Linked DNA regions of Cricetulus griseus. The protein of the gene in region 1 binds, or shares a complex with, the protein of each later gene. Links are inferred from orthologs where the notes say so. Each region holds a gene or a part of one and is shown in the gene's direction. Other genes may lie near its edges. The genes, in order: Med1, Med26, Med21, Rarb, Med25, Med31 and Rxra.

Region 1 (3,835 bases):
TCTCAAGAAACCTGGACCTAGGCTAGCAGCCAGTAGTCAGCACCAGTGCTTGGATTATATGTGTGCACGTTGTCATGCTTGGCTTTTTACACGAGTGCTGAGATCCCAACTCGGGTGCACATGCTAGGCAACAGGCACTCTTACCCACTGAGCCATTTCCAGCACCCTTACTACCCTTTTATTGTTCTTTTGCAGTGATGGGAATGAAAACCAAGCTTTGTGCATGCTAGGCCAGGTATTCCACTCAGCCCCAAGGAGATATTTTAATTTTGCTTTGAGCTTGTGAAGACATAAGCTAAAGGAGACAATGACCAGTAATTTGAAATAACTTCTAAGATGTTAATACTTGCTGTCTCCCTTTTTTTGTGTGAAATATGTTGTTGTTCCTGAATCAGTAATCTTTTATTATATTCCATGAGAAACATGACTTTTCACATCTTTGCAACTCTGGTATTTTATTACATGAACTTTCTCTTTTTCTCGTGTGTGCATGCATGTTCTATTAAGAATGTGGAGGTCAGAGGACAATTAATGGGAGTGTCCTTCCACTATGTAGGTCTCTGGGAACTCAGGTAGTCAGACTTTATGCAAATGTCTTTACCTGCTGAGCTATTTCACTGACCTTATATACACTTATAGAAATGTGGTTTTTGTCTTTTTTTGAGACAGGGTTTCTTTCTGTAGCCTTGTCTATGCTGAAAATTGCTCTGTATACCAGGCTGGCCTAGAATTTACAAAGATCTGTCTGTCTCTGCCTCTTGTGCTGGGATTAAAGGTGTACATCACCAAGCCTGGCAATCTTTTTTTTTTTTTTTTTTTTTTAATAAAGACAAGGTCTCTTGTCTCTTGTAGTTGAGGCTGGTCTTGATCTTATTATGTGCATGTGGTCTTGAACTTCTGATTCTCTTGCTTCCTAGAGTATTTATCATTCTGCCTTTTTTGGGGCGAGGGAAGTTTAGAGACAGGGTTTCTCTGTGTATTTCTGTAGTCCAGGCTAGCCACCTGTCTCTGCTTCTGCTTCCCAAGTTTTCGGATTAAAGGCATTTACCTTTGTTTGTTTTTGTTTGTTTGTTTGTTTATGCAAATGGGTATTATGCTTGTACTATGCATGACATGCTCATAGAGGCCAGAAGAGGAGTTGAATTCCCCTGGAACTCAATTACAGATGGTTGTGAGCCCACTATATGGATGCTGCAAGTTGAACCTTGGGAGAATAGCTAGGGGTCCTGACTGTTGAGGCATCTTTCCATAGATTGAGTTGTATGCCGTGCTGGGACTCAAACCTTTGGGTGTGCTAGGCAAATTATCAACAGCACTACATTTTTTTTTTAATTTTTTAGATTTTTATTTATTTATTATGTATACAGTCTTCTGCCTGCATGCCAGCAGAGGGTACCAGATCTCATTCAAGGTGGTTTGTAATCCACCATGTGGTTGCCGGGAATTGAACTCAGGACCCTCTGGAAGAGCAGTCAGTGTTCTTAACCTATGAGCCATCTCTCCAGCCCCGATTTTTTTTTTAGGTTGAATCAGGATCTCACTATCTTCCAAGTGGATCTTTTTTTTTTTTTTTTTAGATTAATTTTTATGTATACAGTGTTCTGTCTGCATGTATGTCAAACACCAGAAGAGCCAGATGTCATTGTAGATGGTTGTGAGCCACCATGTGGTTGCTGGGAATTGAACTCAGGTCCTCTGGAAGAGCAGGCAGTGTTCTTAAGCTCTGAGCCATCTCTCCAGCCCCCCAAGTGGATCTTGAACTCACTATATGTCATAGTCTGGCATTGAATTTTTTGTATTCCTCCTATACCCTAGGCTAATGTGAGCCACCACAGTCAGCATTTGTGTGTATATAGATGTTTTAGTAGAAGTAATAAGGATTTCATTGAACTCAGGGCCCTTCATATTATAGGTAAGCACTCTATCACTGAGCTATCCCCAGATTTTTCTTGTTAGTTTGAGATCAGATTTCATATAGCCAAGACTCCTTAGCTTCTTGTTTTCTCTTCCAAGTGCCTAGATTATAGGTGAGCACCACCACAACTGTTAATGAATGCTTTTTTAAATGTATAATTTATTAATAAAAGTGCCTTAATGAGTTTAATTTATGATAGGTCATTTAATGAACATAAAATACTATGCATCTCCTTCTGACCTGCTGGATGATAAGACTGCATCTCCTATCATTTTGCATGAAAAGAATGGTAAGTGTTTGTTTTTTTTTTTTGTACTTTGATACAGATCTCTTTATGTAACCTAGGCTGACCTGGAACTACCTATGTAATACAGGCTAGCTCTCAAATGTATTGTATAGTGATCATACATACCACTTCAGCCTTCCGAGAACTGAGGTCATACATATAAACTACCATACACAAGACAGGGTGACCTCTACCTCTTCAGTGTTGTGATTATAGGCATACACCACCACGCTCAGATTTCTCCATTGTGTTAAAAATATTTGTTTCTCTGTATTGCTTTGGAGCCTGTCCTGGAACTTGCTCTGTAGACCAGGCTGGCTTTGAACTCACAGAGATCCTGCCTGCACTACCAAAGCCTGGCTTAATTTGGTATTCCTTAATAAATATGTTATCCTTTTAATATGTTCCAGATACAACACATACATATATCATATGCACCTCACATATATACATGTATATTATATACTTAAGTCTTTAAACATATGCAAGTAGCTCAATGCATAAATGAGTTAGTGATGAAATATAAATAACCACTTAAAATAACCAGCTTTCCTTAATACTTTAAAAGAGAAAGCCGTGTTTGTGACATGCTCCATGCCAGCATGGACCAGGCAGAAGAACCTGATTTGAAGGCCAGCCTAAGCTATGGAATGCTTAAACAAACAAACAAACAAATAAATGTGACCATTTGGTTTTGGTATTTTGAGGCAGGATGTCATGTAGTCACAACTGGGAGGGGCAGGGGGTCAACTTGCCTCAGACTTGTTATTTAACTGATGATGAAACTGGAACTTTGGTTCCTCTTGGCTCCTGGATTTACACCACCACCACACCTGGCTTGTGTTTGGACTAATATAGCAAAGGAGCAGAAGAAATAGCCCCCTAATTTATTTGACCCCATTATAACTTCAGTGATAGACTATCCTGTAATTATAAGCCCATTTAAATACATTGTGAAGTTGTGAATGAATATAAGCATTGATAATGAGCTCTTGAAAATCCCCCCACCTTCTCCAGGGCTATAGGAATTTAATCATTAGCAGAAAGAAATATTGATTGGCTATGGAAAGGTAGCTTGTAGTATTTTTATTTTATTATTATTATTATTATTATTATTATTATTATTATTATTATTTTTGGTTTTTTCGAGACAGGGTTTCTCTGCGGCTTTGGAGCCTGTCCTGGAACTTGCATTTAGTTGTTTTGTTTCTTTTGGCCTCATTCACTGTGTAGCCCCTAATGATGTCTGCCTTTTTTTTCCTTCTTGTTACTTACTGTACTTTGTTCTACTTTTGAGAGTTGGTCCAATCTTGTAGTTCAGGCAGGCCTCTAACTCATCATTTTTCCTCCCTTGTTCTCCAGAATGCTGGGTTCACAGACTCAGGACCCTCATTCCTATCTGTTGTTTTGTTTCTTTTAGCGGTGTGATCCTTGTGATCTATGTTATGAGGAAGAAAATATTTTTTTCTTTTGTTTTTCCCAGTTCCTCGATCTTTGGGCATGAATGCATCAGTGACAATTGAAGGAACCTCTGCTATGTACAAACTCCCAATTGCCCCATTAATTATGGGGTCACATCCAGTTGACAACAAATGGTAAGTTAAATATGAATTTAAAGTAGTGAAGTCCATTTT
Region 2 (4,279 bases), on another chromosome or scaffold:
AGTGTAACGCAGGCTTCTGCCAGGTGCAGAATTAAACAAGCCATGATAAAGCTTTTGTTTGTGGAGGGGAGAGGGAAGGACAGGTTCTGACTTTCCGTCCTGGCTGGTCTGGGGCTCACTGTGTAGACCAGGCTGGGCACGAACTCCAGAGATCCTCGGGCCAACCGAGCACTGGCATTAAATGCCAGGCTCTCCCTCCCCCTCTCCCCCATCCCCCGATCCCGGCTAACCCTCAGAAGTATAACAAATTCAAAATTAACAGGGGTCGCCCAGCTCTCAGGAGCACATGTGGTTCCCATTACCTGTTTCCCTTCCGTTTCCAGTCTGGATCTTTAAGGTAACCTCGGAGCCCGCCGCCCGCCCGCCCGCCCTCCTCCCGTCATCTGCAGCGGAGCTCCGGGTCACCCAAAGACGGGGGGTCGGGAGCCCGACACTTAACATCTCGCTTCTCTTGGTGTGGCCTAAAACTCCAGGTGGTTCTGACGCTTGCTTTCCTGCTCGGTGGGGCGTTCCTGTTTTCCAGCACCTGAGATGCAAAGCCAACAGGAAGGGGCGGATGCCGGGCTGCAGCCCCGCCACCTCGGGCACGGCGGTCCCTCCGGCCGGCGACGCGAGCGGCGCTTCCTCCTGAGCGGGTCGCGCAGGCCCTGTCGGAGGCGGCGGTGCCCTTAGGTCCCCTCTGCGCGGGTCATACGGGGACACGCACTGCCCCGCAGACCCGCGCCTCCGGTTTCCACCGCGGCGGCGGCTGCGCAGAACTCTCCCGAGGTCCTCGCGGCGCGGGTCTCCTTGGCGTCGCTCCTGAGCCGGGTCCCAGCCCCCGGCTGCGGCCCTTCATCCGAGGGGAGGGTCCTCCTTCTCCGCACCCCCGAGGCAGCCCGGAGGAAGAGTCCAAGCTCCAAGACCCAGCGGGTGCGCTTCCGTTAGGAAGCTCCGCCCACCGGTTTTTCGGAGTGGGCGTGGCCTTTAGACAGCGTCCGTTGCCCCGCCCAACTGCCTCCCAACGGCTCTCTGGAACGGGCCATGGGGCGTGGCGACGCGACCTGATAAACGCGCGTGCGCGCGCATGCGCAGAGGCAACAGAAGCGGCTCACGAGCCGGCCCCTCCCAGAGCCAGAGTCTCCGCCCGCCCCCATCTCCCAACCTCCTCAGCGTGGCGCCGACGCTGCGTGCGGCGCGGGTTACCCAGAGTGCTCAGCGCGGGGGCAGCTCACTGGAGTTTGGTTCTCGAGGCGGCGGCGGCGACGGCGGCGGCGGCGGCTTCTCCGTCGGCTCCTCCTCCCCCCCTGCTCGCAGCAGCGGCGGCGGCCCGGGGCCCGAGCTCCGGTCCCCTCCGCTTCCCTCCGTCTTCCGCCATCTCCCCGAGCGCCCCGACCTCCTCCGGCGCCGCGGGGAACATGCGGCTCCGTTCCCGGAGGCTGGCGAGCGACTGACCCGCGTCCCCCCGCCCCAGCCCGCCCGCCCGCCGGCCCGGCCGCTCCCCCCCGCTTCGCCCAGGCAATGACAGCGGCTCCGGCGTCTCCGCAGCAGATGAGGGACCGGCTGCTGCAGGCCATCGACTCCCAGAGTAACGTAAGTGACTGCTTGGAGAACGGGGACCGAGGCCGCATGTGCCGGGACCCTCCCCCTCCGACGCGCCCCCGGCCTGGGGGCCTCTCCCGGCGGCGCCCTGCCCGCCACAGCCGTTGCCATCTCGGCCTCTCGTTCTCCCGGGTCCAGGGGCCGCGGGCAAGGCGGGCAGCCCGGCGACTCAGGGTACCTGAGGCCGAGGCTTCACGCGGCCTGGACTGAGGGATCGCTCGGAGCCGAAATCAGACCTGGTTCTCCTCGGTTGCCTCGGCCAGATTGTCCTTGGTGCTTTCCACCTTGCCTCCCTGTCTCTCTTCGACCCCGGGACTTGAGACCCCCCGGAAGGGTCTCCCTACGGGGGTCAAGGTGGGAAGCAACTAGTGTCCCCCGATGACTCTGGTAGCCCGCGTCTCCCTTCGGTCTTCTGGCTGAAATCGTCTTCTTGGGCTCGGAGAGAACCCTAGGCCCTCCTTGTCCCTAGTCTTGCTGCTTGGGATCCCTGGAGAGTTTCCCTTCTTTTCTGATACTGGACAGACCCCAGTTTAATCCCTCCAAGGGTCGCTACCTAGGAAAGACGACCCTGCAGAAGGTGGGATCCTTCCTGTCACCTTTCTTGGCCTAAATGTCCCATTGTGTGTCTGACAAGCCTGGGGTTTTGGTACTGAATTCCTGCTCATCACAGTCGATTGTTCTCTCGCCCCTATTCTGGTCTTCTTTCCATCTCTCTTGCCCCACCTGAGGGACTCGGCCTGGTGTTTGGTCTCTAGGCTGTCAAGAGTTAACTGTATGGGGTCACTTTATGTCACATTTCCCTCTGCTAAGCGTCCTATGAGCAGAGGGACACCCTTTCTTCCTGTGTGAGCATAGGCTAATCTCACCTGTTGTGTTTTTTCCAAAGGTTTGTTGGCAGTGTAGGGAGGGGGTGAGGGTCTTTGTTCCTGGAAGCAGCAGGGCCATGAGAAGATGCACAAGCATCCAGGTATGAAGTGTTTGCTGGGAGACCAGGAAGTGGCCTTTGAGATCACTTTTTAATATGCTCAGGATGGAAAGAAAAATCATCTTGGGCTTGGCCAGGTAACTGAGGTTTGAGCAGGGAGCTCTTTTGGTTCCCTTACTTGTGCTTGGCTTGTTACTCTTAGTAATGTGCCATATTCTGGTGTGTTCCAAGAAATTCACATTAGTTGTGCAGTCTTGGTAGAAATGGAGGTTTCCTGATCTCTGGAAGAATCTGCTTGCCAGATTCAAAGTAAATCTCTTCTTCCTGATCTTGAGGCCCTATTAAGATCACCTTGATACTGATTTAGCCAATATTTTAGACATTTTTGGTGGGTGGAGTAAGGACAGGCTAGATAAAATCTTCTAAAAAGTCTTTTTTTTTTAAATGTTTTTTAAAACAGTGACTGATATTACTGCAATTACATGATTGAGATATTAAAAGATACAAACAAGTGATGTGAAAAATGTAACCTCAGTGGCTTTTGCATGTTTTCTGAAGCTACAATGTACACAGTGGATTTTTTTTTTTTTTTTTTTTTTTTTTTTTTTTTTTGAGACACGGTTTCTCTACCTGTAGACCAGGCTGGCCTCAAACTCACAGAGATCCACCTGCCTCTGCCTCCCAAGTGCTGGGATTAAAGTTGTGCGACACCACTGCCAGCATCCACAGTGTAATTCTTAAGTCCTGTATGTTGACTCGTGAGAAATCACCAGGGATCCTGACTGCTGCCTGTGAGAGTGCTGGGATCAGCTAGTGCTTTGATAGGCAGTAATGATGCTTCGCTTCAGGTGGGGCAGCCTTGCGGGTAAGGCTCTGACTAAAGGATTCTTTTGGGGGTAAAAGAAGGAAGATAGAGGACTCAAATTTTAGTGTGTGAGTGTGTGTGTGTGTGTGTGTGTGTGTGTGTGTGTGTGTGTGTGTGTATTAAGACAGAGCCTCTGGAACATACTATGTCCTTTGCCTTCCGAGTATTGGGATTAAAGGCGTGGGCCACAGTGCCTGGTCCCCAAACCTTTGCTTTTTGAATCTTACCTTGGGCCTAAGTGTTAATATACTCCTTCACCTGTGGGTAAGTTACTTGGAGTGGAGTGTGTATCTCAAAGGGCTATAGGGATAAGTGACCTCATTGTGATGGCTAGAGTTGAGAACTTGTCTCTTAATGAGGAGGGAAGTTTTTCTCTAAATGCAGTGTATCAGTAACTATTCATGAACACTGTCATGTGCTGGCTTTGCAGGACCTCTTTGTAGAACTCAGCCTGGAGGACTGTCCTTGATTTCTTCCAGAGGCATTGAAGGGTACTTTTTCTGGATTGTTCAGGGCCCAAGTAAGAGCTGTGTGCTGGCACAGGGCTCTGCTCTGCCCAGTTATGAGCTCTACCACTTGGTAATTGACACATATTTAAGATGTTCATGGAAAAAAATACAAAATGGGGACACAGTTGAAGAGCTTACACTAAAATTAACCCTCTTGAGAGAAAGTGACAGAGATTGGTGTCATGTAATGCTTACCTTTATGAGTGCAATCATAGCTAACAAATTTAGCTGTTGCTTGGAAAGTCAGTGCCAGGCAGCTGACCTACTGTCCACAGTCTCTGAAATTGGGAGCAGCTCCTTGACCAAGGAGGTCTCTAGAGGAAGGCCAGCTCTGCTGTGTGTTCTAGCTTCTGAGCAGCAAGCACTGTCCTTTCTGCCAGGCCTGTACTTCAGGAAGTC
Region 3 (3,721 bases), on another chromosome or scaffold:
AGAGGAAAACAATCACTTCAGCTACTTTAGGCTACATTGATACCAAATTTAATTTCACCTAGACTGATACCAAACTTAAGTTTAAACCATTTAATTCAGGCTAGATGTAAATAGATTGCTGGTGAGAGTGTACGATTAGTGTATGAACTCCATTGTTTGTAATAACTGGCTCATTTTATCTAAAAATATTCCTTTCTGTGAGTTTGCTTAGAGATCATTATTATGAAGAAATTGTTGCCATATCTCATAAAATCCATAAAATTGACAACTCTTTTTGTAACCTTGATTTTTTTTCTTTTTTTTTTCAAGCTTGCAGATCAGTTTTGTAACGCCATTGGAGTATTACAGCAATGTGGTCCTCCTGCCTCTTTTAGTAACATTCAAACAGCAATTAATAAAGACCAACCCGCCAATCCCACAGAAGGTGAGGTCTCCTTAGTTTGACTAACATTCCTTCTACAATTTATAGCTCCTTTGTAAAACTGTGACTGTGGTTGAAGTGCATTGCTCTATGTTTTTCCATAAATGATTTTTTAGCATTTATTTACTTGGTGTGTATGTGGGCAGGCCTGCTATAGTATGCTTATAAGAGGTCATAGGTTCCAGACCTGTTCTCTCCTTTCACCATGTGGATTCTGGGGATCACACTGTGGTCCTTAGACTTGGTAGCAATGTGGGAGGTCCTTCTGTATGCTATGAATAAGTGTTGCTTTTTTTGGTTGATGAATAAAGCTGTTTTGGCCAGTGACCAGGCAGAATATAACTAGGTGGGAAATCCAAACAAAGATGCAGAGAGAGGGGGCCGGAGAGATGGCTCAGAGGTTAGGAGTACTGGCTGCTCTTCCAGTGGTCCTGAGTTCAATTCCCAGCAATCACATGATGGCTCATAACCATTTGTAATGAGGCATGCCAGAACACTGTATACATAATAAGTAAATAAATCTTAAATGATACATAGATTAGTAAAAATGGGTTAATTTATATGTAAAAAGCCTGGCATTGGTAGCACACGCCTTTAATCCTAGCACTGGGGAGGCAGAGGCAGGTACATCTCTATGAGTTCAAAGCCAACCTGGTCTACAGAGCCAGTTCCAGGATAGCCTTCAAAGCAATACAGAGAAACCCAGTCTCAAGAAAGAAAGAAAGAAAAGGAAGGAAGGAAGGAAGGAAAAGAAAGGAAAGAAAGGCCAGTAAGAAGTCTGAGTTATCAGCCAAACAATTATAAACTGGCGGGTGAGACAGAAAACATGCAACTACATGCCCTTATCTGCAAAGCTATCTCATTGGTCAAGGAATGAGTTTATCAGCTCAATTCATGTGCCTCATGATTCTATTCACTTCAATAAAAGATTGTTACTCCCTTAGAGGAGAGCTTATGAAGACTGAATTTCTGTTTCACCTGGTCCCCCAGCCCTTTAGTCCCAAATAAACACATTGAGGCTTATATTAATTATAAACTGTATAGATTGAACTGAGTTTTGCTTGTATGACCTTAGTAAAAAAAAGGATCTCATTTATGGGTTCATTTGCTCAAGGTACCAAAATGTTGTCCTAGTATATAAAATGACATTCTATGCTAATTCCCAGTTTGAATTAATGTTAAGGGTATAAATAGTACTGATATACTAAAATTATACTTTCACCATTAGGATTATATTAGAAAGCTGAACTTTTCTAGTTTTATTAATTTATAATTTGTGCTTGTGAAAATGTAAGGTTTTGCTAATTTAACTTAATGTTGTTTTTTTTTTTTTTTCAGAGTATGCCCAGCTTTTTGCAGCACTGATTGCACGAACAGCGAAAGATATTGATGTTTTGATAGATTCCTTACCCAGCGAAGAGTCGACAGCTGCTTTACAGGTGAAAACTCCTTTCTTTTCATAAAAGTAGTAGTGATAGAGAACTTTGAATTAAAGGAGGTATGGCATTCAAATTAGGACTAAAGTTTAATTGGAAGGTATTTTGGGTTTTGTTTGATTGTGGTTGGTTTTTTGCTTGTTTTGTGGTCAAATCTAGGGTCTCACATAGCAGGCAAACACTCTATAATTGTGAACTAAAACAGCCTCTGAAGATTGTGCTGAATAGTTGTCCAGTTTTGACCTAAAAGATCAGATCATGTGTATTCGAGGCAGTATTGACACTGAGCAATTTAATCTTAGGCAGAAGTCTCCTAATGCCCTTACTGAAAGTGGAGCAAAGTAACGTCTACAAGCAATGTACAAGCAAACACCTATATATTCTGATTGAAAATTAGTCTTCAGGGCTGGAGAGATGGCTCAGAGGTTAAGAGCACTGACTGTTCTTCCAGAGGTCCTGAGTTCAATTCCTAGCAACCACATGGTGGCTCACACAATCTGTAATGAGATCTGGTGCCCTCTTCTGACCTGCAGGGATACATGCAGGCAGAACACTGTATACATAATGAATACATGCATCTTTTTAAAAAAAAAGAAAGAAAGAAAATTAGTCTTCTAATAAGTCATAGAGAAAAATTAAATAGGTATTTAGAATTATCTGTTACTAAAGATAAAAAAATGATTGGAAAACCATTCTGATTTTAAAATAAATACTTGTACTTTAGTTTCTCTGCATTTCATCTCTGAGCATATTAAAATTCATGTCTTATGAAGGCTGCTAGCTTATATAAGCTAGAAGAAGAAAATCATGAAGCTGCTACATGTCTGGAGGATGTTGTTTATCGGGGAGACATGCTTCTGGAAAAGATCCAAAGTGCGCTTGCCGACATTGCACAGTCACAACTGAAGACCAGAAGTGTCACCCGTAGCCAGTCGCTTCCAGATTCCTAGCAACAACAGAAACAGGTGACTGAGAAAATAACTGTTTGAAGGGCACTAAGAATACCGCCTCAGATATGGGCTTAAGTCCCTCCAACAGCTGGGGGGCATCATACGCTGTGACTGTTTCCTTTTTTACTAGTTTTCACTCTCGATATTAAAAAGCTTTAAGATTGCGATTGCAATTGAGTCATCCTCAAACATCATGTCATTTTTTTATCTATCTGACTAGAATTTTCAAGGTAGATACTGTACTAATGTTCATGCTATAATTAAAAAGCTATACAATACAGCTCTCTGATGTTTTGCATGTGTTGTTTTTCTTGTTTTGTGCAGTACAGAATGGAATCCAGGCCTTGTGTATGCTAGGTAAGCACTTTGTCACTAGGCCATATTCCCCGGTTCTGACAGACATTGTATGATTGCAGCCCATCCACAGGTCAGCATAGCCTTAAAGGCCATGATATGGGACATTTCAATTTAGATAGTGTCCCCCTCCTTAAAGATGGCACCATGTAAGTTTATATCTTTGAGCAAAAGTTTCTGAAAGTCTTTTTAAGAAACTATTAGAGCAGATAGGAAATAGACAGTCACCTGAAAGCTTTCTTCTTCAGAGTGTCACACATTCTAGTGTAACACAATTAATAAAAACCCAGAGACTGATATTGGGGTTCAAGCTGAAGATCAGAGAAAGTAGCCGGCCACTAGCTCTCACCTCTACCTCAGGTGAAAGGGCTGATCCTCGAGCTCCCCACCAAGCCTCAGACTGCCGCCTCTCCTCACTGAGGATAGAGAATAAATCTCCAGATGAGGCCCTTTGCTTTTTCCTTTTGTACCTCCTCAGTGCTGGGATTTAAGGTATGTGATCCCAAGTGGTGAGATCACCTTTGTGTGAGCTGTACCTCTTTAGGACTGGGTCAAATTCA
Region 4 (4,323 bases), on another chromosome or scaffold:
GACACCATCTGGTCATGAAGGGAATTCTTGACTCTGAACCAGATCAAGTGGGCATCAAAATATGCTTAACGAAAGAACAACTATCACCGCTTAAAGCAATTGCATTTATTCAGGTTAGTGTGCGACTGAGTCACTAAATAAAGCCACTGTACAGGAGGAATGGGAAAGAAGGGGATGGGCAGTAGTCCTTCAGCCTTGGGTCACTAAAGAGTGAATACTTTCTCCTGCTATCCAGACCGCCAGGACCTTGAGGAACCAACAAAAGTAGACAAGCTCCAAGAACCACTGCTGGAAGCACTAAAGATTTACATTAGAAAACGTCGGCCCAGCAAGCCCCACATGTTTCCAAAGATCTTAATGAAAATCACAGATCTCCGCAGCATCAGCGCTAAAGGTATGTCTTCAAGGACAGAGGGGAGGGCAGAGCTTTGCCAGCTTTGCTTTTTAAAAGCCATGCTTTAATCTTAGGAGTCTCCTGACTGCCTAAGTTGGAACGTCTGCCCCACAGAAATCAAAAGGAGCTAAGAATCATCTGAGCACCCATATGTGCACACGGTTAAAGAGTTCCTCAGGGTTCTTTAAGAAGACTCTTGACATTGTCTCTGGCCTGAGATTAAGAGAAGCAGAAAGCAGATACCACTACCCCGTGATACTAAGAGATTATTCAGTTTTCAAATGGGATGGCTAGTTAGAAGAGCAACTCTTCTAGACAGTGTATTAACTTTTTAAATAATTATTGTTGGGGCTTGTATGCATGCCCTTGGAAGTTAAGAGACAATTATGTGGAGTTCCTTCTCTTTCCATCTCTACATTCATTCTAGGGTACCAAGTCAACTAGCTTGCACAGCCAGCTCTTCGCCCTCTAAGCCATTTTGCCATTTCTTCATAGTGTATTTAATTTTGAGTGTATGCATTTCATACTCAGATTTCTATTACACTTGTCCTGTTTTTCCTTTGCATCCTAATCCCTAGAAACAAATGAGTAAGACTTGGGGGTCACCGTGGCTGCAGCTCTGGTGTAGGCAAGTTAACTACTGTAATTCTGTGTAAAGGAATTCTTGCCTGGTTGAGAGATATAAATAGTCTCACCTCATGATTCTCACTCTATGTGGCAACTCAGGCAATTATACAAATGCCTAGAGCCATCTCACAGCTGAGTGCAGAGGGCTTTTCTATGTAGAGATGACTCAGCAACTATTCCTTGTGCCAGCTATGCTATTAACTGTCATTAGCAGACTCCATACCTGAGGATCTCGGCAAGCCATGACACACATGCTCCATTTCAGAAGGTCGTAAATGCACAAAGTGAACTTGTCCAGTGATAAATTCTAAGTTTATCCCAGCATGGGTTTAAGAGAAACAAAAAAAAGAGACCAATGCTTGAGTGGAGTAATTATGTATGTATGTATGTATGTATGTATGTATGTATGTATGTTTGTAAATAGGGCTGTTAACATCACTCTCCATAGATGCCACTGATCTGAGGACTAATAACCATGAATAGAAATCTCCCAAGTACCATATTAACAGAGTCCATAAAAACCCTAGCCACATGTTTCTGAAGCAGTTTTCCTGTTATTTATAACCAGCTGCATGAAGGGCTGTGGGATCTGTGATGGCATAGAAGCATCCTGTTCTGGACTGGATTGCAGAAAACCACTACACGTTGGGGACTCAAGTCCATCCTTCCATTGTGGAAACCACCCATCCCTTCACCTATATTTTCTGACCTTTCATCAGGAACTTCTCTTTGTAAATTTATGGAGTCTGACTGAAGCACTGCAACTATCTAATCTGCACATTACACATTTCTACAGCTTTTCCTTAAAGTGAAAATGAACCAAACTCAGCCAGCCTCTGGAGTACTGTTAGTACATATTCTGTATTCAAAGGGAGTGTTGGATCAGCCTCCACCTCAAAATCAATCTGATTGGGATCTCAAAGCACACCTGACACTGACATTCTGGTGGCCCACATTCCCACTGTAAATACCTTTATATTTTTACTTCTAATAAACAGGTTCTTTTCACAAAGACCTGTATTTCACAACCCTTTCACACACCCCTGAAGGTGAATGTTGGTTCCTTCATATCTATCCGACCACGTATCTAACAAGTTTTCTATTATCTTTCAAAAAAGGTGCAGAACGTGTAATTACCTTGAAAATGGAAATTCCTGGATCAATGCCACCTCTCATTCAGGAAATGCTGGAGAATTCTGAAGGACATGAACCCTTGACCCCAAGTTCAAGTGGGAACACAGCAGAGCACAGTCCCAGTGTCTCACCCAGCTCAGTGGAGAACAGTGGAGTCAGTCAGTCACCACTGCTGCAGTGAGACACTACCAGCTACTGCAGACATTCCCCAGGACCTTCAGTTCCGAAGTGAAAATGCAAGGAAAACATTTTTACTGCTGCTTAGTTTTTGGACTGAAATATGTTAAACTCCAAAAGGACCAAGAAGTTTTCATATGTATCAATATATATTCCTTACTGTGTAACTTGCCTAGAAATACAAACTTTTCAAATTCTGAAATTCAGCCATTTCATGCCACCAGAAACTAGTTAAGAGCTTCTATTTTCCTCTCTGAACAGTCAAGATGCATGGCAAAGACCCAGTTGAGATGATTTAGCCCTGGTTAAGTTTCTGAAGACTTTGTACATACAGAAGTATGGCTTTGTTCTTTCTATCCTGTACGTTGGTGCTTTCTTTTGTCTTGCAAACTCAATAACCAAGACACCAAGGTTATGGAGCAGACTACTGTACATCACTGTACATCTTGCTTTCATGAATAACAAGGCCTCATGGTAAGGAACCAGGACCTTTGTACAGTACAGGATAAGACTAAAGACGCTCTGGTTTAAGTAATGTGGAAGCTTCTCCTTGCTTTTTGATGCTCAAGCTGCATCCTTTCTTTTGTGTTGCCCAGATAGAATATACCACTTCACTGCACTAGCAGAAGAGAATTCTGTATCAGTGTAACTGCCAGTTCAGTTAATCAAATGTCATTTGTTCAATTGTTAATGTCACTTTAAATTAAAAGTGGTGTATTCCTTAATGACACAACTACCGAATGAAAAAAAGATGCATTTTTACAGTCATGATAGCCTCCAAGGCAAAAACACTGTCCAGTGTTAGTAAGTTTGTTTACCTGTTCACAAGCCATTGGAGAGATATCACAGGATAATCAGCAGGCTAGTCTGCCTGGACTCTAGTAGCCCAGTGTCCTTCCTGACTCACGCCTGATCCTGGGATTTCCCCCAGTCTTGATGCTTGAAGGTATAGGCAAGTGGCCTCTTCTGGCCTTGTTCAATCACTATGACGCAGAGTGACAGCTGTGGTAGAGTGGTTGACAGACTCAAGTGTCAGGTTCTGAGTTCTCATGTAAGCACTAGTGGAATTTTTTGTTTTTGATATATTAGCAAAAGTCTGTGATGTACTTTCACTGGCTCTGTTTGTACATTGAGATGGTTTAACAGTGCTTTCTATGTTCATATACTGTTTACCTTTTTCCATGGAGTCTCCTGGCAAAGAATAAATATATTTATTTTAATTGTGTGTGGGAACTTTTACTATGGTTTCACCTTCAGTAAAGAGTCTGAGAACACAGTTCCATTTTTAATGTTTAAATTTCATTTCAAAAAGCAGGTCTGTAGTCTGCAATCATGACAATTAAAATCTGTGCTAATGCACGGTAATCTATAACAATTCTACAAGCCAATCAGACAACACATGACATTTCAATGAGTAAAAAAGAGCATAAAACTGTATGTGTAAGAACAAAATGTTAAAAGGCCTACCACAATAATAAAAAACCATCAATTACATCATCACATTAAAATAAGCCAGATGTACAAAATTCTGAGACAGAAAAGACAAAGGACAACACAAGATATTTTTGAAAAATGTTCGTGCTCTTTGGGCACTTAATTAAACATTGCAAAATCAACATCTTCTTCTTCATCAGATTCTGCAAAATATTTTACTTCTTTCCTAGCCCGACCAGTCCGTGGCAGAGCAGGTGGTTCAGAAGTGAAGTCTGAGGGAAAGATGTCTACATCTGAATCCTGATCAAAAGATGTTTTCTTCGGTTTCTAGACCCCCCCCCAAAAAATACAAAAGATTAAAAATCCCGAAGTTAAGGAAAGCCTATGGTTAAGAACTAGTTATTCCTTATACTTACACTTATGGTGTATTGCCAATAATCAATCATACTTTAAAAATTAGAATTGGCATGCTAACTTAGGCCTAAAATGAATTATGGATGAAAGAAACAAGATTAAATATAGTAAGTAATTAGCAACTTTGGGCTCTTATGTTATCA
Region 5 (4,536 bases), on another chromosome or scaffold:
GGTTTTTGTTTTAGTGATGGAGAAATGTTTTATTTTTTTATTTATTTATTATGTATACAACATTCCGCCTCCATGTATGCCTGCAGGCCAGAGGAGGGCACCAGATCTCATTAAAGATGGTTGTGAACCACCATGTGGGTGCTGGGAATTGAACTCATGACCTTTAGAAGAGCAGCCAGTGCTCTTAACCTCTGAGACATCTCTCCAGCCCATGGAGAAATGTTTTAGTTGTTAAGAGCACTTTCTGTTTGCGCTTTTAAAGGAACTAAGTTCAGTATTCAGCACCCACATGACAGCTCACAGTCTCCTTTAACTCTTAATTCTATCTTCTGATCTCCATGAGTACTACAAGCATGTGGCATTTAAGTACATGCAGAGAGATATTCATGTACATAAAGCAAAAATAAACCTTAAAAAACAAAAAGCTGATTGTGACAACATCCACAGAGAAACTCTGTTTCGGGGGTGGAGTGGGGTGAAGAAAACAAAACAAAAAAATAAAAATAAAAAACAAACAAAACTCCATCAAAAACCAGGAGCTGGGAAAATGATACAACGCAAGCATGAGAACCGAAGTTCAGATTTCCCAACACTCACATTTTAAAATGTGTTTGTATCTTTCTCTTTTTTTGTTGTTGTTTGCTTGTTTTGTTTTTTCAAAACGGAGGAGTTTCTCTGCGGAGCCTTGACTATTCTGCTATTCTGGAGCTCACTCTGTAGATCAGGCTGGCCTGGAACTCAGAGATCCGCCTCTCTCTGCCTCCTGAGCGCTGGGATTAAAGACGTGTGCCACCGACGCCTGGTTCAGCTCTTTTCCTAATCTTTTCTCTGTTTTCCTTTTTTGAGACAAGTTTTCTCTGTACAGCCATGTCTGTCCTGATACTCGCTGTAGACTTGGCTGGCCTCAAACTCAGAGATCTGCTTGTGTCCACTGTGCTGGGATTCAAGGATTCAAGGCTCCAGCACCCCTCTGTCCACACATGTTACAGTAATTTTCCAGGTCATTTTATATTCATGACGTTGGCTGCAATGCCGAGTGACTCATTTATTTATTTATTTGTTTATCTGTTTATTAGGAATGTATTTGCTTTGAACCAGTTACTGGCTTCTTTCTCAGAAAACAGGGATCAGGTGTTGCTTAGCAACCTCCACTTAAGTTGGAATTCGCTTCTTTCTGAGCGAAAACAACTGCCCTGGTTTCCAAGTCGTCTGCAACGTTACAGTGTTGCCTGGCAACGCCGTTTCCGAAGATGTGATTGGACCGCTCTCTCCCATCTGTTCCCTGTGAGAAAGACTAGAATTTATTAACTTAATCTCCGTGTGAGAACACAACGGCTGGGTACGCGTTGCCTAGCAACCTGGCTCCACAAACTTCCCCCTTCAGCTCCGAGTCGGAAACTGGAGGCCGACTCCAAGATGGTGACCGGATATGCCGTTTTCCGATTTATTTCGTGCTTGATGTTGTGGACAAAAGTTTGTTAGTTCTCAAGAGTCCCCCAGAGGGGTTTGTGGTGCCCGTTCTGATAATTTCCTGGTGTGGGAATCGCCAGGGTAGAGATAAAACCACCACTCCCCGGATGCCCCGCACAAACATGGCCGCGTTAGCTTCAGCGGAGGTTGCCAGACGTCCGGCGCGGGTGAGCGCATCACGCAGGCGCACTTCTGTTCGTCCCGGGACCGCAACGGCAGCTGCGGCGCTGGCGGCGGCGGCGCGGGGCATGGTCCCCGGATCCGAGGGCCCGGCTCGGGCCGGGGGCCTGGTGGCCGACGTGGTGTTTGTGATCGAGGGAACAGCAAACCTGGGGCCGTACTTCGATGAGCTCCGCGACCACTACCTTCTGCCCGCCATAGAGTGAGTGAGGGCCCTCGTCGTCTCCCTCCGCCCTGACCTGCGGCTCGCACGGACGCTGCATTTCCTCCTGTCTTCGCAGGTACTTCAACGGGGGACCACCCGCAGAGACGGACTTCGGTGGAGACGTGAGTCTGTGGCCGCGGCACGGGGAGGAGGCTGGGTGTGGACCTGGTCTGAGGTTGGGAGGCCCTGTTCCAAAGACCTCCGTTTTAAAGTTCTTTTGTCCTGTCCTCTCAGTATGGTGGAACCCAGTACAGCCTTGTGGTGTTCAACACAGTGGACTGCGCCCCAGAGTCCTACGTACAATGTCATGCTCCTACCAGCAGCGCCTATGAGTTTGTCACTTGGCTCAATGGCATCAAGTGAGCTTTTCCTTCATTTTGGGCAGATTGGGGACCCCAGCAGAACTCAGCGTGGGTCTGTGCGAGTCTGTCTTGTTCCAAGCAAGAATGGGCTACCCAGGCAGTGGGATCCCTGGGTACAGACCACCACAGCCTGCTAGGGTGTGAGTGTCTGCAATTACTGCTTGCCCTGTTCTTGTGCTTGGTTTGCAAATGAGTAGCAGTGTAGACTGCTGGGTGCAGGAAGGGTCTCTGAAGCTAATCTTTTCATGTGGAATCCACAATCTAGTTGTGGTCAAGGGTCATTTGACAGTGCTGATCTAGTCCCAACCGGTTCTTAACCGTCCTGACTTGGTGAAGCAGGTGTGCTTTGAATGCCTGCTGTGTTCCGGTTTTTTTTTTTTTTTTTTTTTTTTTTTTGTGTGTGTTGTGTGTGTGTGTGTGTGTGTGTGTGTGTGTGCATGCACTCCACTTGGAGATTGTCTGGACTGGGAATTTATGTAAAGCATGGCTTCCCATGCTAGCCATTGTTGACACTTAGCACTCAAGTTTTGTTAAGAAGACTGGTTTATTTTTGTTTAACTTGTGCAAGTGTTTTGCATCCATGCATGCCTGTTTACCTCTTGTGTGTCTGGTGCCCTTGGAGGCCAAAAGAGGGTATCAGATCCTTTGGAACTGGAGTTAAACAGTGTGAGCTGCCATTTTGGTGCTGGGAATACAACCTGGGCCCTCTGGAGGAGCAGCCAGTGTGGTTTCTTTCTTTTTTTTTTTTTTTGGTTTTTCGAGACTGGGTTTCTCTGTGTGGCTTTGGAGCCTATCCTGGCACTCGCTCTGGAGACCAGGCTGGCCTTGAATTCACAGAGAGCCACCTGCCTCTGCATCCTGAGTGCTGGGGTTAAAGGCGTGTGCCACCAACGCCTGGCTGCAGCCAGTGTTCTTTAAGATTTTTATTTATATTGCCAGGCTGCAGTAGTGCACGCCTTTCTTCCCAGCACTCAGAAGTCAGAGGCTGGTGGATCTCAGTGAGTTTGAGGCCAGCTAGAGGGCAGATGGCACCTTAGTTAAGAACTGCTGGGCTAGATTGAAGTGAGACTTGAGTAACAACCATCTGGAGTTCTGTGAAGCCCCAAGGTCCACACTGCTGCATGTCAGGGTTGGTGTATGTGAGGCCTCTCTCACATTTGGTTAGGCGTGAGTCTGAGGGCCAGTGCCAGCCAACTCAGTTCTATTGAACTCCTGATTGGCTGTTAAGTCTCCTGTGTCCATTTCTGTGCAGGGAACTTGTGTGACTTTTCTTATGAGCCAATTGTCCTCTGCTACCTGTCACTGCCTCTGCTTCTGGACCTCAGTGGAAGTCCAGTACCTGCTGTTCCTCCTCTAGACTGCTTCCAAGTAGGGTTTTGCTCCTACAAGGCTTAAGGAGAAATCTGTGTAAACAATGAGTGATGGCTGCTTGAAAGCTCCTCAAAGACACCGGACCTTCCTGGTGCAGACTGCAGGAAGAGTGGCCCTCCCTTAGGAAAAAGGCTGACTATGGGTACTTGAAGATAAAAGGGAGATACTGTCTGGACTGCACTGTGTTCCCCACTTGTACACTTAAAATCCTGTAGCTACAAGTGTCCCCAGTTTGGAGGCCTCTGCTACTGTTAGGTAGTTCAGCATTGTTTTACTCTCCCAGGGTCACTGTTCTGACCAAGGGCCGTGACCCATGTCCAGGATGCTCTGGGCAGGACTGGAATGGAAATGAGAGTCAGCAGGACTTGTCCCTGCTTGAGAACACTCTCCTTCTGCTGTTGATGATGGTGCTTGGAGACAAGGTGCACAGTACAATTAGGACACAGCCTTGCTCTGGGCTTGTTTGTTTATTTTGTTTTGATTTTTGATTTTTTTTAAGACAGGGTTTCCCTGTGTAGTTTTGGAGCCTCTGAGTGCTGAGATTAAAGGTGTGTGCCACTGCCACCTGGCTGAGTTCTTTTTCTTTTCTTCCTTTTTTTTTAAATTATAAGTCCCATTTTATTTTTCCAAGGTGTTTTTCCTTCTGTCTTCATGAAGCCACCTCTTTACATGGGCTTTGGTGGCGGTCGTGGTGCAGCACCAGCAGGTGTGGTGGGGGTGTTTGGTCCTTCCGGGCTTCACGAGATGGATTCCTGACTACCTTACTATGACTAGCACAGCTCACACAGGAATGTAGCCTGACATTTGGGAAGCACATAAGCATTGAAGACACTTACTTCGGATATGTCCCTGACAGCAACGGCCTCTACAATGTTCTGAATGACGAACTTTTTTTTTTTAATTTATTTATTTTTATTTTATGTGCATTGGTGTTTTGCCATGGGTGTT
Region 6 (4,374 bases), about 25 Mb from region 1:
TAGTCTTCTCCACTGTTATCGCTGACATGCTCTGACTAGTACCTAGCACACAGTAGGTACTCAGTAACCATCCTCTGTCAGCCTCACCCTTCAGGTCAGGTGCCAATGGCTTTCTTTTCACTTTCCCTTCTTAGCATATTTTTTATTAATTGACTTGCCTTTTTTTCCCCAACACCCCCTGACCTATTTAAAAAATAATAAAAGCCTGTATGTGGAGTACTGTGTATAAAAACTTAACATAGGAAAGCTTATTATGAAATACAAATAAAGGTCAATTAATAATCCATGAAAGATGATTCTTTGTTCTATTGGTTTCAAGCACTATATAATCAAGCCAGTGGTCATGAATTCATGACAAGTTTGGTCCTTCTTCGCAAATTTCAAGTGGTCAAACCATTCTAGAGGGACCTCAGGCTACGAAACTTACCTGGTGCAGAGACTCAAAGAGCCTCTTTGTCCATCATCAGCCGAGTATATACGCACCGCAAGTCTGAAGCCCTTCTGTGCTGGCTTCGAGTTAAATAGTACACTGGGTCAACAGCAGGGTGGTCTAAGGTGATGCAATCTCAATACATGTTGGCAGCACCCAGAAACCACAGCCTGTTTCTTACATTGATTTACAGGCTGTTTCCATGAAACCAAAGATGCTTGGCTCTCCTGGAAGCTGGCTGGCTGGCAAATGGAAACACTTCAGTGCTGGCTAAGGGCCATGGCCACTTCATCGGGTCATTTTGGCACTCTGGCGAGCTGTTTGCTTGTCCCTCCTGGCTGGGCTCTCTACACGGTGCACAGTCGTCTCCACCCGCAGGGATGACGACGCCCTGACGTGGCTGGAGGACGTCTCCGTGCACTGCGAGGAGGTTTCCACGTGCTGGGAGGATACCTCGAGGAATCTAGGGAGTCGCTTCGCGGAGGAGGTCAGGGAGGGTCCCTCTCGGTGGCGCTGAGAGGTCTCCACCTGACGAGAAGACGTTCGAACCTGCCGGGAGGACGTCTCCACGCGGTGGGATGACGTTTCCTCGCGGTGGGACGACGTCTCCACGCGGATAGTCGACGTTTCCTTTTGGCGGGTGCTTTCCACTCGCGGGGCGAAGGATTTACTCCTAAGGGGCGAGGCCATCCTGCTGGCACACCCAGGTCAGAAGGGACACAGAGGCCCAAGACTCATGCTCTGTGTCACGTCACACAAGGGACGGTGACGTCAGGGTGATGAGCTACGTCAGTGTAGGCTGCTGCGGGCCACATAGGATCTGCGAGCAACGAGCTCTTCCAGCACGCGCCGCTAGATAATTGCTCAGGCTGCCGGCCCAGACCACACAGATAGGCGGGGCCTCTCTCCTCAGAAGGAGGCTGTCTCCGCCCTCGCGTCCCACATGCCCCGCGACCGGAAATAAGAGCCGTGGCTTCCGGATCCTCCCTCACCATTTGAAGCCGCGGTTGGGTCGGGCTGGTTGTGTTCGCGTCTCTCTCCTCTCTGGTTATGGCCGCGGCCGTCGCTATGGAGACAGGTTCGTGGTGTCGTGCTCCTGGAGTCTTCACCGAGGGAACGGGTCCTCCCCCCTTCTCTCCGGTTTCCCCGCGCCGTCTTTCGGGCTTAACCCGGCATCCTTAAGGAGTTGGGATCGGTGGGGGAGAAGGCGGTGTTGTCTCTGATTGTGGCCTGTGTGAACGACATCTTTGCTCCTGGGCTGCTCACACCTCCACTCCCTGGCTCGCGGGCCGGGGTGGGACTGAGGGAGAGGACCGAGCCCTTCAATTGTCTGCTCTATGGAGCTTTTCCCGTGAACTTGCTTGAAATGTTTGTAACGTGTATGGTTCTGATACGGATTACCGTCTCCTCCCCGCTGTTTAATCATTTTGCATCTTGCTTCCTGCTTTTATTTAGCACTTTGTTTTTGTTTAACTTAATCACTGTTAGTAGTTGTGGTTGTAACGCTAACATTGGGGGTGGCACAGCTATTACAGACCAACCAGTGATCTCTGTTACCATCCTCCCATAGTGGCCTTAAATAGCCGTTTCGTTTATTTTTCTCAACTAACTTTAGGTAATTTATTATCTTTGTTTTGTTTTGAAGACAGGGTCTCACTATGTACTACTGCCTAGCCTGGAACTGGCTATGTATACCAGGCTGGCCTGGAATTCACAGAGATCCTCCTGCCTCCCCCTTACAAGAACTGGGATTAAAGGCATGCACCACTCGGCTTGTTTTGTTTTAAACCAGGCTCCACTCTGAGATTTCTAAGGAAATCTCTCCTGCAGTTTGGTATTTGTTTCATAAATTCATTCCTATGGGGGTGGGCGGTGCATGCCGAGGTCAGAGGACAACTTGCAGGAGTCTACTGTTCCTGCAACCCTGCGGGTTCCAGGGATGGAGCTCAGGTCATCAGACTTTTCTGTGAGCACCTTTACATGCTGAGCAGTCTCACTGGCAGTTTGTTTTTGTTTCTACAAATCATTGGTATCGTGACTTTTATTTTGGGTGTCTTTTACTTTTTTCTCCTAGATGATGCTGGAAATCGACTTCGGTTTCAGTTGGAGTTGGAATTTGTGCAATGTTTAGCCAACCCAAATTACCTTAATTGTAAGTCGAGTACATCATTAAGTTGAGTAGCTAGCTGTTAATGATTTCTGACAGAAGAGATGGAATTCATAATAGTATTTACTTCGGTATGTTTGAATGGGATTTTACTTTCGATGGTCTGTAGTTATTAACTGAGCAAACAAGGACTTGTGTTTTTTAATTCCTTGTGTTTTGATGGTAGGAATGTTAAAAGAGCTACTTTATTGTAGCGATTACAAGTCAGTAGTCCAGCAGTTGGTTGACATACAGATTGTTTCTTTATGCCTTTCAGTTCTTGCCCAAAGAGGTTACTTCAAAGACAAAGCTTTTGTAAATTATCTTAAGTACTTGCTTTACTGGAAAGAACCAGAATATGCCAAGTATCTAAAGTAAGTTTAATTTTTATAATCTTAAATCTGTGTATACTTTATTATAAATACGAAGTGCTTATATTTAGCAGTTTTCTCGGTGTCAGAATGGCAAACTATGTTTTGAATTTTTCTGCTTTTAGTTCATGTCATGTCATTGTCATTTCTAATTTGAATTGTTACAGTAATCTCACTTATTTCTGCTGTCATTCTTACCTCACTCCCTTCAAACCAAACAAAGCCAAACAGTTGTCTGTCAAAACCAATTTACTGTCTTAGTAGTATAAATCAGAACATGCCACTTCTATTCATGTAGGATAAAATCCAGTAACTAGTTTTAGAGTAAGACTCTGATTTGATTTGGTCTGTCTGAACTTGTCATTTAGCATTCCCCTTGTCTCTCTGGGTTTCTAATGCCTTCCAACCTATAAACTACTAAAATGTAGTGGTATAGCCATAAGCTGAAAATGAACATATAAGAAGTGGTGTTTTCTGGGAGTCTTAGACTTACTGTCTTCTTTATAGTTTCCTATGTGTCAAGTACTGTGCTAAATGTATCGTGCACATTAACTCACTGTAAACAAAAGAAAGACAAACATGAACACTGTCAAGTTGTTTGATAGACAATTGTGAGAAACATCACAACTACACAGCTATCCCTTTGAATGGTAAAACAAAACCTTGAACTCACCCCTCTGCTTTGTCTTAATTAAAAAAGAAAAACAAGCTGGTACACACCTTTAATCCCAGCATTTGAGAGGTAGAGGTGGAGGTGGATAGATCTCTGAGTTCAAGGCCAGCCTGGTGTACAAAGCTACTTCCAGGACAGCTAGGGCTACACAGGTAAACCCTGTCTTGAACTCCCCCTCCCCTAAAAGGGTGGACAACAACAACAACAACAAACCCAGAAATTTTAGCCTGATGCCCCTTTAATCCCTGCTCTCAGGAAGATCCGGCAGATCCCGGTGAGTTTTAGGCCAGCTTAGTTATGTAGCAAGTTTCAGGCCAGTCAAGGCTACATAGACCCTATCTTAAAAATTAGAGGGAAACATTTCAAGCCTTTTCTTTATATCCTAGTCACTTTTCTGAATTGATCCTGGACTGCCTGTAGAACAGATTGCACCGGATTTGCTCTTTATGATGCAATTATTGATTCCTTTAGGAATCTGAAGGAGAGACTTTTAAGTTATTAGGCTGTTATAACAGTGCTAGCAGATTTACAGACTGGGTATTAAAAGCCTTAGTCACCTTCAATTCAAGTTCAGTCTTACCAGCAGAATTGTTGGATGATAACTAACTATACTCTGGTTGGAGGCCTCCAGCGAACATATGTCACTCTATTAGAGGAAGCTTACTTCACTGATAGCCAGAGATTATAGCCAGAAGGACAACTCTTCCTTATATTGTTATCAGACAGACCTCCTTGTTTATAGATTTTTTTTTCT
Region 7 (4,307 bases), on another chromosome or scaffold:
GGGAGAGTGGTCCAGGGGTGCTGAGAACATATTTCTAAGGGAACCGTCCAGGTGATGGGACAGGCCTGGGAAGAGGAGTTGGTTTGTAGACAGCCCAGGACATTTAGTGCCCCTATTTTGCTTTTTCTTCTCTCTTGCCCTGGAAGGACAGGTTCCCCAGACCCCACAGGGCTGGCCTTCCTCTGGGACAGTTCTATAGACCTTCTGGGATGCTTCGAAGAAAAAGTGCAGTTCTGGAGGGCGGCAGTAGCGCACCCAGGCAGGGCTTTCCTTTTTTGTCTGGAGAGGAGGTGCTTTCTTTGGGCAGCACCCACGATGTGCCTGTGGACTTTGGTAAGCCCCTCTGCCAGGGCCTCCACGCTGGATGTTGGTCTGGCAGGCACCAGCTGGGAGTGGAGGGAGGCGGGACTGCCGGTTGCCTGGCTTGGCTCAGGGACACAGTGCGCTTAGGGAGGCTGGCTTGGCTCTGCTCAGGTAGCTCACACCCAAATCCGAATTCCAGCCGCCCAAGACGGCGGGCGGGTTGCGGAGGAGGCCCAGGCTCTCTCTGGGTAGGAGTGCTTCCTTTCGTTTTAAAACAAACAAATCATGAATTTAAAAGTCAGGGCAGAGAGCTGCCCAAGGTATATAAATAGCCTGGGGCCACTGGGCGATGTCCGAAGCGGGCCGCAGCGCCTCTCGAACCCCGCACCTCAGAAGAGGGCTGGGGCCGTCGGGGTAACACCGGTACGCGGACGCCCCCCCCCCCCGCCCCGGGTCTGGCCTTCGGTCGGTCAGATACCATGGTTCTCTCTGGGCCTCCCGCGTGTAAGTGGGAGGGCACTGGGGCATCCCCCTGCCCAGCTGCTTGCCTCTGGCTCATCACCCCTCCCCGGCCTCAGTTTCCCCATGTGTCCCTTGGGGTGCACGGGGCCTCAGCTCTCCTTTAGGGAGCCCTGCCAGACCATGGTCCCCGAGCGACCACGGCTGGCCTCTTTGTGTGTCCGCGCAGACAATGGCCCGGCCGCTGAGCTCTCCTCTTGGCCCCGCTCTCCTCCTCCTCCACCACGGGCCGCGGGGATTTTGGGCAGCCGGGGAGGGAAGGCTGCTTCAGCCGGCCGCCCCGCCCTCCTCCCACGCCGCCGCCCCACGGCTCCCGGGAACCCCTGGCAGACGCAAACTTGCAAGTTTGCAGGACGCTCACAACTCGGGGCCGGGCGGCGAGCGCGGGGCGGCGGCGACAGCGGCGGGCGGGGCGCGCACCGGCTGCGGGCGGGGCGAGTGGCGGCGGCGGCGCTGCGCCGAGTCCGCGCCCGTCGCGGGCCCCCCGCCGCTCCCCCCCGCTGCAGGCCGGGCCGGAGCGGGTCGCGGCGCGCGGCGGAGGCGCGGGCGGCGGACACGCGCGCCGGGCGCGCGCAGGCACAAGTAGTTTACATTGTTGGGCGACTTTTGCAACAACTCGCCGCGCCGCGGCCTCCGCGCGCCGCCGCCGCCGCCGCTGCCCGCCGCCCCGCCGCCGGGCCGGGCCGGCCGGCCGGGGGCCGCTGCGCTGTCGCCCTGCTGCTCCGCCGCCAGCCGGGAAGTTAGTCGCAGACATGGACACCAAACATTTCCTGCCGCTCGGTGAGTGCCGGCCGCGGCGGCGCGGGCGAGGGAGGGGGCCGGGGCTGGCGGGGCGGGGGCGCGTGCGCAGCGCGCGTGGGGGGTCCGGCCAGGCCCGCTGGGCCCCGCGCTGTGGCGGTACCGAGAGTTGGCGCGCCGGGCCCGGGGAGGCGAGTGGGCACAGGGCAACTTTTCCCGGGCCCGGGCTCGCGGCGGGAGAGGGCGAGGGCACCGGGCCTCTGACTTGTCGGGGAGCGGGAGTGGGCGGCGGGGCTGGGGCGAGCGGCAGGTTCGCTCAAGACGTGGAGAGGGGTCCCTCACGGTGCGCGTAGCGCGTCCGCAGAACCCCGGGGCGCCCAGCCTCAGCCGCCCAGAATCCGGCCACGCCGGAGGAGCAACTTCTGCGCTTGCTGGAGGGCTCCGGGCCTCCTTGGCACTGGGATGGGGGCGACGCGCTGGGCTCCGGGAGGCCACTGCTCCTCCGGGCTCGTCGGGCTGCTGTTTGGAGCAGGCCGCTGGCCCCTGGGTGTCTGTTGGCCCAGACGGAGTCTGCGATCTTGCCGTTCCCCGACAGCAGCCCAAACCTAGGTGGGCATGGTCACCCAGGGGCCTCTGATGAGGAGCATCAAACCCAGAACTGGGGCCCCACGCTCTGGCACCCCTAGTTGTTCTCCCTGGTATTTAGGGGGGGAGAACAGCCCATAGGCAGAAGAGTCCGTTTTCTTGTCTTGCTGCCCTCCCGCCAGCAGCTCTCAGTGACCGTCAGCCTGCCAACTCCGGGAGTGGAACCCAGCAGGGTCGGAGCCCCCCAATCCATTGCTCTCGCAGGGATTTTGGGAGCCAGAGGGAAACAGTGTAGAGAGACTTTATAAATGAGCTCTGGGAAGGATATTAATTTGGTGGTGAGGACAGCAGCCAGGCTGTCAGGCTGATGAAGAATTTGTGCTGAATGGAAATCAGGACAGCTGATTATGGACGAAGCTCCATGATGATCAGTGCCTCTTTGCTTGGCCATCCCCTATGAAGCTTGGGGTGCAGTTTTGCTACCCCTAGGGGTGATCAGAACCCAGCATGGCTTCCAGGATTTTTGGTGATTTGGGGAGGTGGCACCCCCTTGGCCCCAGCCTTCTTACAGCTCCCAGACAGGTCTGCTGCAGAGTGACTTTGATAGAGTGTTCCAAGTTTGTCAAAGCTTCAGACACTTCGTCCTTATGAGCGGTGCTGAAGACCATGGGGGCTCAGCTGAGCTTGAGGGTCTGGCTCCCAGGGTGTAAACTCTGTCCATGTTGTAGTTGAGAAACTGGCTTGGAGAGGCCGCACTTAGAGACTGTAAATGGTGGATTTGGCGTTGGAGCCCCCTGCCAAAGTCCACTGACAAGAAAGCTGTATTACTGTGGCATGTTGCTGTGGGGCCTGATGTGGGGTTGGTGGGACCCCTGAGACACCTCTTTCTCCTCCACCCAAGCCTTTATGTGTTCAGAGCTGGGTCCTTAGGACAGGAATGCTTTGCTTAGTCTCTGGCCTGGATCATGGCTAGGGCCTGGCAATACTTTGCCTAGATCCAGGGATGGGAAACAACATGCCAGGAGGGACAGAGCCCATTCTAGAAGTTGACACATACAGTTGCAGGGTGACTGGGCTAGAGTCTTCAACAAGAGGAGTTGTGTCTTGGAGCTGTTGTCCCCCCACAAGGAGACCCAGAGTCTTGGGTTCACAGAGTGGTGGCTCTCAGGACCAGCTTGTGGCCTCCCAGGCAGCTTGTGCCCCAGGGCTGAGTGGTGAGTCCTGGGCTCTGAATACATTTTATTTTTTACTAAGCTTGTGACCAGCTCTGAAGTCCAGTGCAGTTGAAGGTCCATTTAAGCAGCTACTTGCCTAAGCCCTTTTGTCAACACAGCCTAATCCCTCCTGGGGGCTGAGTGTCAGAGGATCTGGCTCATCCAGGGTCCCCACTGACAACTTAGGTTTGACTTGAAGTGGCTGGGAAGATTTGGCCGTCCTTTTTTCACTACCCTGCCACTTTTGGGGTCTGAGACTGAGGGCTCTTCCCAGTGTGCACTGTGTGGGGTTTGGTGGTTCAGATAGCCTCTGAGCCTCTCTCCACTGAGTTGATCTGTATGGGACAGATCTGAGAAGAAAGGGAGGATGGGGAATTTGCCCCAGGCAGTCCCTGTTTCCTGGCTTTGCTGCCCAGGGCTGGAGTTGGGGAGTGGGGTAAGGGCTCAGCCTGGCCTCAGCTTGGATGGTGGGACTGTAAGGCTGAGCCTGCAGAGTCCAAAGGTCCCAAGCCTGCACTGACCCTCTCAGCTGTGTGGCTCATTTGTATGTGAGGGTAACAGGTTTCCAGAAGTGGGGCTCTAGGCCTCCAACCACCCTCTTGTGTGGTTCTTGGGGATCTAGTGAACTTGGGGCCTGTGTGAGGGGGCTTTTAGTAACATTGGAGCCCTTGTGACCCAAAATAGAGCACATTCCGGTCGTCCCGAAATAACAGGGTCACATGACTCTCAGGAGGCTGGGCTTGGAGTCCAGCTTGGGCCTGACGAGGCAGTTCACGGTTAGGCCCCCAGCTGCCTACTGATTTGGGCATTTGTTTTGGGAAACTCTGGAGGGGACTCTGTTGTTGACTGAGGAAGTGTTAGGGTGAGAAAAAGTGACCCCCTGTTGGTGGTCTGACTGTGGTAGTGGCCTTGTCTGCCTGTATTCTCTTTTGGGCTGGTACTGTGTTG

Evidence for each region.
Region 2: Med1 (region 1) and Med26 share a complex: the UniProt entries of both Homo sapiens proteins name them as parts of the mediator complex. The link is inferred for Cricetulus griseus from reciprocal best matches to the Homo sapiens genes MED1 and MED26.
Region 3: Med1 (region 1) and Med21 share a complex: the UniProt entries of both Homo sapiens proteins name them as parts of the mediator complex. The link is inferred for Cricetulus griseus from reciprocal best matches to the Homo sapiens genes MED1 and MED21.
Region 4: the proteins of Med1 (region 1) and Rarb are in contact, whole or in part, in a crystal structure (PDB 1XDK), measured with the Mus musculus proteins. The link is inferred for Cricetulus griseus from reciprocal best matches to the Homo sapiens genes MED1 and RARB. Residues at the interface, in NP_001073587.1 of Mus musculus: His642, Pro643, Met644, Leu645, Met646, Leu648, Leu649, Lys650, Asp651; in NP_001276689.1 of Mus musculus: Ile264, Val267, Lys271, Phe276, Ile281, Gln284, Ile285, Leu288, Lys289, Pro435, Leu436, Glu439, Met440.
Region 5: Med1 (region 1) and Med25 share a complex: the UniProt entries of both Homo sapiens proteins name them as parts of the mediator complex. The link is inferred for Cricetulus griseus from reciprocal best matches to the Homo sapiens genes MED1 and MED25.
Region 6: Med1 (region 1) and Med31 share a complex: the UniProt entries of both Homo sapiens proteins name them as parts of the mediator complex. The link is inferred for Cricetulus griseus from reciprocal best matches to the Homo sapiens genes MED1 and MED31.
Region 7: the proteins of Med1 (region 1) and Rxra are in contact, whole or in part, in a crystal structure (PDB 1XDK), measured with the Mus musculus proteins. The link is inferred for Cricetulus griseus from reciprocal best matches to the Homo sapiens genes MED1 and RXRA. Residues at the interface, in NP_001073587.1 of Mus musculus: Asn641, His642, Pro643, Met644, Leu645, Met646, Leu648, Leu649, Lys650, Asp651; in NP_035435.1 of Mus musculus: Phe282, Val285, Lys289, Phe294, Leu299, Gln302, Val303, Leu306, Arg307, Thr454, Phe455, Glu458, Met459, Glu461, Ala462, Pro463.

Annotation. Positions count from the first base shown.
Region 1 is NC_048600.1:111,292,577-111,296,411, reverse strand, and holds part of Med1 (mediator of RNA polymerase II transcription subunit 1), read left to right. Parts: intron 1-2,114; coding exon 2,115-2,204; intron 2,205-3,684; coding exon 3,685-3,796; intron 3,797-3,835. UniProt on the Homo sapiens protein: Component of the Mediator complex, a coactivator involved in the regulated transcription of nearly all RNA polymerase II-dependent genes.
Region 2 is NW_023276806.1:247,288,589-247,292,867, reverse strand, and holds the start of Med26 (mediator of RNA polymerase II transcription subunit 26), read left to right. Parts: upstream 1-1,455; 5' UTR 1,456-1,500; coding exon 1,501-1,572; intron 1,573-4,279. UniProt on the Homo sapiens protein: Component of the Mediator complex, a coactivator involved in the regulated transcription of nearly all RNA polymerase II-dependent genes.
Region 3 is NC_048601.1:3,053,406-3,057,126, reverse strand, and holds the end of Med21 (mediator of RNA polymerase II transcription subunit 21), read left to right. Parts: intron 1-309; coding exon 310-424; intron 425-1,759; coding exon 1,760-1,860; intron 1,861-2,630; coding exon 2,631-2,807; 3' UTR 2,808-3,091; downstream 3,092-3,721. UniProt on the Homo sapiens protein: Component of the Mediator complex, a coactivator involved in the regulated transcription of nearly all RNA polymerase II-dependent genes.
Region 4 is NW_023276807.1:173,891,937-173,896,259, reverse strand, and holds the end of Rarb (retinoic acid receptor beta), read left to right. Parts: intron 1-235; coding exon 236-394; intron 395-2,139; coding exon 2,140-2,336; 3' UTR 2,337-3,552; downstream 3,553-4,323. Other genes in the region: Top2b (DNA topoisomerase 2-beta), read right to left, coding at 3,926-4,093. UniProt on the Homo sapiens protein: Receptor for retinoic acid. Retinoic acid receptors bind as heterodimers to their target response elements in response to their ligands, all-trans or 9-cis retinoic acid, and regulate gene expression in various biological processes.
Region 5 is NC_048599.1:153,725,615-153,730,150, reverse strand, and holds the start of Med25 (mediator of RNA polymerase II transcription subunit 25), read left to right. Parts: upstream 1-1,649; 5' UTR 1,650-1,718; coding exon 1,719-1,852; intron 1,853-1,931; coding exon 1,932-1,977; intron 1,978-2,089; coding exon 2,090-2,214; intron 2,215-4,536. UniProt on the Homo sapiens protein: Component of the Mediator complex, a coactivator involved in the regulated transcription of nearly all RNA polymerase II-dependent genes.
Region 6 is NC_048600.1:86,054,297-86,058,670, reverse strand, and holds the start of Med31 (mediator of RNA polymerase II transcription subunit 31), read left to right. Parts: upstream 1-1,338; 5' UTR 1,339-1,480; coding exon 1,481-1,508; intron 1,509-2,504; coding exon 2,505-2,582; intron 2,583-2,853; coding exon 2,854-2,950; intron 2,951-4,374. Other genes in the region: uncharacterized protein C17orf100 homolog, read right to left, coding at 719-1,120. UniProt on the Homo sapiens protein: Component of the Mediator complex, a coactivator involved in the regulated transcription of nearly all RNA polymerase II-dependent genes.
Region 7 is NC_048599.1:139,356,239-139,360,545, forward strand, and holds the start of Rxra (retinoic acid receptor RXR-alpha), read left to right. Parts: upstream 1-1,493; 5' UTR 1,494-1,574; coding exon 1,575-1,602; intron 1,603-4,307. UniProt on the Homo sapiens protein: Receptor for retinoic acid that acts as a transcription factor.